2 linked regions of the Daphnia pulex genome follow. The main gene of each other region encodes a partner of the protein of the gene in region 2 in a complex. Links are inferred from orthologs where the notes say so. Each region holds a gene or a part of one and is shown on either strand. Other genes may lie near its edges. The genes, in order: nuclear cap-binding protein subunit 2-like and nuclear cap-binding protein subunit 1-like.

What was found.
Region 1: nuclear cap-binding protein subunit 1-like (region 2) and nuclear cap-binding protein subunit 2-like share a complex: the UniProt entries of both Caenorhabditis elegans proteins name them as parts of the nuclear cap-binding complex. The link is inferred for Daphnia pulex from reciprocal best matches to the Caenorhabditis elegans genes ncbp-1 and ncbp-2.

Annotation. Positions count from the first base shown.
Region 1 is NC_060026.1:16,276,215-16,279,561, reverse strand, and holds nuclear cap-binding protein subunit 2-like, read right to left. Parts: upstream 1,657-3,347; 5' UTR 1,461-1,656; coding exon 1,422-1,460; intron 1,277-1,421; coding exon 1,190-1,276; intron 1,130-1,189; coding exon 1,035-1,129; intron 971-1,034; coding exon 832-970; intron 774-831; coding exon 675-773; 3' UTR 578-674; downstream 1-577. Other genes in the region: hsp70-binding protein 1-like, read left to right, coding at 2,013-2,298, 2,363-2,584, 2,645-2,800, 2,860-3,068, 3,135-3,203. UniProt on the Caenorhabditis elegans protein: Component of the cap-binding complex (CBC), which binds co-transcriptionally to the 5' cap of pre-mRNAs and is involved in various processes such as pre-mRNA splicing and RNA-mediated gene silencing (RNAi).
Region 2 is NC_060022.1:6,378,098-6,382,436, forward strand, and holds the start of nuclear cap-binding protein subunit 1-like, read right to left. Parts: upstream 3,018-4,339; 5' UTR 2,894-3,017; coding exon 2,863-2,893; intron 2,798-2,862; coding exon 2,520-2,797; intron 2,465-2,519; coding exon 2,271-2,464; intron 2,204-2,270; coding exon 2,032-2,203; intron 1,972-2,031; coding exon 1,750-1,971; intron 1,690-1,749; coding exon 1,589-1,689; intron 1,528-1,588; coding exon 1,356-1,527; intron 1,292-1,355; coding exon 1,124-1,291; intron 1,064-1,123; coding exon 811-1,063; intron 752-810; coding exon 618-751; intron 552-617; coding exon 227-551; intron 165-226; coding exon 13-164; intron 1-12. Other genes in the region: uncharacterized protein LOC124196162, read right to left, coding at 3,886-4,073, 4,163-4,321. UniProt on the Caenorhabditis elegans protein: Component of the cap-binding complex (CBC), which binds cotranscriptionally to the 5'-cap of pre-mRNAs and is involved in various processes such as pre-mRNA splicing and RNA-mediated gene silencing (RNAi).

The sequences.
Region 1 (3,347 bases), on a different chromosome or scaffold from region 2:
CTTCCAGCGGCTGCAGCAGTGGGAGAGAACTCGATTGCCGTCGCCCAGAAATATTCAAACAGCCAACACCAGATACACACACACTCACTCAGTACAATTTTCCTGGTAGTTCAGATGCACGTTGAATGTCACGTCAAGCACATTCTTTCTTCGAACGATAAATAAGTTAGTTTTAATTTGGAATAACTAAACAACTACCGAGCAATCAGAAATCGATACCATTTCCATTTTGGAAATCATCTAATTGATCAATGATCATTGAATTAGCTTCACATTTGACACAAATTCAATTGTGACATTCGTTATAAGTTGCAGACGACCACTGGGAATTGAATATTCAAATATTTCTTTGCATGTAGATGATGGCGTGCATCACGCGGCCGCAAAAGCTCTTCTGGGAAACTACCCGCTTCGCTTTGAAAAGGAAAAAGCTTTGGGAGTGACAGATCACATGGCAAGAGATTCTAGTGTCCCCACTTTTCGATCGATAAAATCCAGGCCAACCGGACTGGCAGATGGAAACATGACGAGAAACGTCTTCTTTCACAGGTAAAAAAGATTTTGTTTAGGAAATCAATTCAGCATGGTCTGTTTTAATTGAGGATAACACTTGTTGACATTTGTTAAAAAAAAAAACACACAGAGATGAATGAATACAGTATTTAGAAATGTTATCAATTGTTAGCAGCAGCAGATGTGGCCACCTTCTGCTGAATCATTTTGCCCCATCCTCCTCTGCCACCATCAAAGTCAGTTCGGTATTCATCTCTCACCTGCAAAACAGAAATCCATTAGTTGAGAACAATAAGTTTGAGCTGACGAAATGCTGACCTGTCCTCCAGTTTTGCCTCTGCCATATTGCCTTCCTTCAATGAAGCCAGCATCCCAGTCAGTTCTCACAATTCTGTCATCCAGTCTTGTCCCATTCACAAACCTGATGGCATTTTCTGAATCATTCCTCAGGTAAAACCTTGAAAGATAATTAGAAATAATTAAACACAATTTTGTTATTGGATTTGGTTGCAATGACTTACTCTACAAAACAAAATCCACAAGGGGTCCTAGTAAACTTGTCCAATCCCATGATGATTCTCTTGACATCGCCACATTTCCCAAACAATTCATGGATCTAAAATATTTGAAAAGATGAAATCAAATGGAACCAATTGTTGACTTGGAAGTATTTAACCTGTTCTTCAGTTGTGTAAAAGGACAAGTTTCCAACATACAGGGTGCAAGATTGACTCAACAGACGCTCCTGCTCTACCCGGGAACCCTGAAAGATGGAAATCAGTTATTTTGGCTTGAAATATCAAAATATTTTTAATTATTAAGGTATGCATTTCCATTTAAACATTAATTGCCTCAAAACTGTATATTAAGTTACATTTTCAATTCTGCTATCAACTCATGAGGCTTACTTTGAAATGTTGGTCTCGGTATGTGCTTGGAACCGCCATTTCTACGAATTATTTCGGGAGAACCAATCACACCGTTCACCCCAGTGTCTTCCGAATTAAGTGTCCTTGTATTCAGCCAATCAACCGGCTAAACTTTATGCGTTTTAAATTACTAAAATTGGTGTGGTTTTTTTCTAAAAAAAAGTGTGCGTTGACACAACAAACCTGACGCGAGTGACTTTCGAAAAGATGCTTATGGCGGCCGCTAGGTTACGTCACTTGCTAGAAACCCATTCCGGCGTTAAACTACAATTAAAAACCAAATAAAAATATGACACACTTTCGCAGATTTTTTCAATAATTTTTTAAAATCTCAATGAATTTTATCCAAATCTTAATTAACTTAACAGGTTTGTTTTGTAAATGTCAAAATTTTTTAAGTTATGCGAGTCATGCCTAGATGGCTCTTTTTATTCCAGACTCTTCTTGATTTTGCTAGTAAACAGTTTCATTGACGTCTGCTTGCCCCATGCGTTCACGGTTTAACTTGCGTACTGCGTCTTATTCTTCATAAATATATAACAAGTTGTTGTTGAGATCCTTAGCAAAACAATGGAACCCCCACGACAACCAAGAGATATGCAAGGACTTTTAAGATTTGCCATCGAAGGCACCGCAGCTGAAGATCGTACCACAACCACATCGATGAGTGAAGAAAGGAGACGCTGGTTAGAAGAAGCTCTAAGAGGATTGTCAGTCGACGTTGTAGCCGAAATATCAAAATCGTTAAATATCCTCAATCCAGATCGAGTCGAAAGTCCTGAAGAAGATCCCCAGGAGATGGAGGAAGCATTGGAAATGATTACTGACTTTGCCGATTCCATGGACACGGCTAATGGTATGAGATATCTTTTTTTATTGATTGAATAAAACATTGACACTTGTTTCGCTTGTTTCTCCAGACTTTCACAAGATAGGAGGATTTTTCATCCTCATCCCCTGTTTGAATTCTCCCCACGATGGAGTTCGTTGGAGGTGCTGTCAGTTGATTGGCACCCTCACCCAGAACAACCCATACTGCCAACAGCATGTGCTCAACGAAGACCTATTGCCAATTTTGCTTAAAATGCTGGAAAACGATGACTGTGAAGAGGCGAGAATCAAAGCCCTGTACGCCATTTCATGTAATGAGCAGATTTACAACTCACACTAAGGGAATTCAGTTAACAATTGATTGATTATAGGTTTGACAAGAGAATGTGCAGAAGCCCAGGATGCATTTGTGCATTGTGATGGTTTCTCGTCTTTACTGAGAGCACTGCAATCATCACTCGGGAAACTGAAAATCAAGGCTTCATTCTTGTTGACTTGTTTATGCAATGAGAATCCATCCTTCAAAGGTTTTATTCACATTCATAAGTTTCTCCATTTGTACTCTAACCAATACCCTGTTTACTAGATACTTTATGTAATATGGGATTTGTGGAGCAGTTTGTGGCTCTGCTTCAACGAGATCACGACTCGACTCACGAACATCTACTGGCCGCCTTGCTGGCACTTACCCAGAGCCACCCCCCATCGATCGAGGAGTGCCGTAGATCAGAGTTTCTCTTTCGTGAATTTCTCGACAACCGCATCGAATTAATCGGAGATCGCGACGAATGTCTGGTAATAATTATTAGTCAATACTTGAAAATGAAATCGAATTTTAAACTTTGAATTTTCATTTGATAGGAGGAAGCCGAGTATTGCCGTACTTTGTTGTCGGTGATTTTCAAGGAAGACATTGTCGAAGACAGGTGAAGTTATTGGCATTCGATTGCTGGCAATAGAAAGAGAATTTAAAAAGCAAACAAAGAGGCTCATGATATGGAGGCGCAATACACACACCGACGTCCTTTTGATAATCTTTACGTTTTTGTTTGTTTACTCTCTCGTGAACCATCG
Region 2 (4,339 bases):
GTAATAGTATACTTGAAACACGATCAAAAACAGGTTCTTTTGATCTGATTGGGCAGCCTCCAAGCGTTCTTCCATACGCTCGACCATCTCTTCCGTAGGTTGTTCCCCATCGTCCTTTGTAGCTTCTTTATTGCTAGAGGTGCGTCGACGCTTTTCGCCACCCTCTTTAGTTAAAACGGAAAAAAAATTAAGCGAATGATTAACATTAATCCAAAGTTGTTCGCACCTCTAGATGGATCTTCATCAGATGATTCCGAATCAGATGGTGCAGCTCTGAGTTTAGCGCGTGCATCCGCCACCTCTTTCTCTAGACGGACGACGTGTTTGTTCATTTTGCGAATAGTCAAGTGCAAGACCTCCCAAATGTACGAACGAGTGAACTCGGGTGCCATGTCTCGTGAAAAGATCCAATTTGCTACGGCACAACACTCAACAATTTGTGTCTTTAACATCTTATCAACTACCACTCCTAAAAATTGTGGGTGGTGTTGCCAGAGCTCATAAACTTGACGAAGCATACAGATCTGTGCCTCTTCATTCTCACAAATATTCTATGACAGAAACGTAAAATTGAATCGTTTTATACTATCGATAACATTTCAATCTGTTGAAAATACCTTGAAGACTGAATGATATTTAGCGAGACCTGCAAAAGTATGCGTAAAACTCTTCGATCCCAAATGTAGCAGAGTCTGAACAAATACTTCAATTGCTAGAGGATTGTGTGAAGGCTCCATATCCCCGTCGTCATCTAATTACAATTGCATCAAAATGGCTTGAAGTTATACATATTGTATCCACCATATTTACCTTTGAGAGGATTCGGTAGTTGCTGGACCAACTCTAGTACTTCTTCAGGCGTTGGCTTTTTTCTTAGGAGCTCAGTCAAAGTCTGGACTTGAGCAGCCCCAGGAAAACCATTTCCTCCTTCAATTTGGTATTTAAAGTACGGTTCTGGTTTCGGGGGCAACAGCGGTGAGTAACATTCAGGCACCATTTCAGTCACGCGCTTGTGATAGGAGAGTCTCAAACATTTCCCGAACACTTCAGAAACAAATTTTGCCTGAAATTTAAGTGTTCCTTTAGATAGATTTCGAAAAATTTCATTTTTTTAAACATTTACCTTGGGGTGGTCTTTTTCGAGTGAAAGACAATTCTGCCAGTCATCCCAACTCCAGCGGAATTGAAAGTTACTGAGATGGTAAGAAAACCAAGAAACGAATCTATCAAAGCAGGTGGCATTCATGGTATCAATTCTTTCGTAAAGCAACTCCGTAGCCTGTGCTAACACCTGGTTGTGAAATAAAAAGTCAAATGAAAATGTTCAAGTTTCTACTGTAAGATCATATTTTCACCTGAGGCATTGTACTTGGTTGAAGCTTGCAAAGTTCTATCAAAGTACAACCATAAGCAATCTCCAAGTAACGAGGGGAAGGCATTTGGAAAAGTTCTGAGAAGAGAACTTCAACTATCATGTATTCCAAAGGGATCTTATTTCTCTGTGGGAACGCCAACAATTGGGTGGCTCTGAAAAGCAAAATTAATTTACTATTATCTGCACAAACGTTTCTGTCAAGTTGAAACTCACAGTTCCTTGCGTTCGTTATGATGACGAGTGATGATCTGGTGTAAATGTTCCTCAATCAAGTAACGCTCTACTGAATGAGTTCCTGGTAAAAGTGGACCAGCCTGAAAATGAGTCCCGAGTTAAATACGCACGATACACACTTTTGAAAGCGTTTAACTTACTTCTGGACAGTCAGTGTAATCAAACATCCTGAAAACAACCCATGGTAGCGGATATTGCGTACTAGCTGTGTGAGGCGGAGGTAGAATGACCGGGAGATTGTGTTGCAAAGCTTCAGAGAGGATAGAATCAAAAGCTAAATATGGACGGTAAATGTGTCTTTCCTGCCACTCGTCTGTCCGCAATTTCCGTACTTGAGCCCAAAGACATTCCAGGTATTCTTCCTAGAAAGAACGTTTTTCGAAATTTTTCAATTATTATTAAAATGCCATGCCATTTCTGACCTGTGGGTGCGGAGTTTCACAATTCCAAACTCGAAGAGCAGCGACATGAGCAGTATTTCTTCTGCGAAGATAACCTTCCATTGCTGCCATTATACGTTCAAGATCATTTTCTTTCTTTTCAAAAAGCTCTCGACCAACCCAAGGAAGCGCCGTCAACAACGCATACATGTACCTGTAAATTGATACAGTGTTGTGATCTACATTACTCTTGCTTTAGAATAAAACAAAAATTTAATTACCAGTCTCGTCGAACCTGAGGAACTCCTTGTTCCATGGCAGCGTCAATAAAACTGTCATATAACTGTAGCAAGGAAGAGGCAGAGACTATGTGACAGTTGACCATGTCAGATATGAAACGTACAATTAAACGAGCAGATTCCCATTGCCCCTCACGGAGAGCTTCTTTTAGGTTTCTCACTATTTGTTCCACAAACTAAAAAAAGATATACTTGTATCTTAAAAACTGAAAGTACAATTTTAAAACAAACCTCTCCTCCAAAATTATAGTTTTTAGCATTCAGAAGACCAACTAATGTGCTGTAGATAGTACATTTCTCTGGCATTTGGATTGGGCATTCCGACAAAATACGTAATATTTTACTCTTGTACGTGTTCAAATCAGCTTCTAATACTGAAGCAAGCCCTTCTAAATTGCTTTCTAAAGATGATGACGTTTTGTCTCCAACCCTGATAATAAGAGATTCTAACCGGTCTTCAATTTCTGCCTGCTCCGAGACAACTCTGCGCCTTTTACGATACCCATGTTCTGTAATTTTAAACAAATAACTTTTTATAATGTCATCAAATTCTTCAATAAGTTGTAATCCTTACCATATCCATCATCACGTTTCCTACGACTCATTCTTTGATTTTATTTTAAATTGGTCTACGACGCTTACAAGACAGACAAACTACTACCACCCTGTTTGACTGTTTGTCATATGGAGCTATTAAAGAAGCTGTTAATTTGACGCCATCTATTGATGAAATCATAAACTTCGATGATCGTGAAAATAGTTTACATAACTTGACAACGTAGCTGTAAAAATTGTTTATTTTAGGCAACGCAATTTGGCGCAAAAATTCAATTCAGTTTATATTCAGCTGAATTGAATTAAATTCACGCAAAAATGGGATTTGTTGAATTCAATTTAGGTGAAATTGGCTACGAATGTCGGACGATTCGGCAAAAACCATTTCGGCAAATCGCCGAAAACCGTTTCGGCAAAGTTGCCGAATTGTCACCTATGAAATTACCGATTCGGCAAAAGTCGATTCGGCAACTGTGCAAATGTAAATTGGCGGCAAATACTGTGGAACCCAATTAACCCCACAACGTTAGCTAGGGCTGTAAATCGGGTAAAAGCAAAGCGCACTGCTAAAAACCCAATTGATCTTTTTTTTCAAATCAAAATGGACTTAATGCCCACTTCGTTTTTTAAAGGAGAAGTTGTAGTTGGTTCTAAACGTCATTTAATTTTCATGACTGACGAACAACTAGCGCTTTTGAAAACTGCCGTTCGATGGTATGCCGACGGAACCTTTAAAATAATAAACTTCCCTTTCACTCAACTATTTTCCCTCCATGGTTTTCTAAAAAAGAATGGGCAGTTAAAGCAGGTTCCACTTTGTTTTGTGTTTATGTCGGGAAGGGCTCAAAGATCTCTCGGGAAAGACAGTATAATTCGCGTGTTGGTGGTGGCGCTGATTACCCGAAACCCACACAGCTAGCGCCACTGGCCTTACAACGGCATTTTAAACAATTTTGCCGAATTGGCTTTTTACCGAATTGGTATGTACGATTCGGGAAAATAACAAAGTCAACCAATTCGGCAAAAACCAATTCGGCAAACGTCAAATTTGCCGAATCGTCCGTATACCTTGGCTACAATTCACAACTTGGCTCGTAGTGCAAACTGTGGATGGAATGGAACGAACATCAGCTTGATGAGCGGCATTGATTAAGCCTGCAGGATTGCTTGACACACAATAACTGTCATCCGTTGAACTAGTGGATAGGCCTACAGATTCCGCTGCATTGACTACAATACAAAAAGAAATGATTAAAACGAAGAGTGAATAATAAAATTAATGGTGAATGGAAGTATGCTAACAACCACATGAGCCATACCTGGTAAAGAATTGTTCGTACTTGAGTCTCTTGTACGTGTGCTCTCGGCCCGTTTACGGCCCGCATTCACACTTTTCTCCACAGCAGGATTTGTTGTTGATGGGACACTACTGTTATTCACTGAACTGGTGGATAAAGATTCCGCTGCAATGACTACAACTTGAATACAAAAAGAAA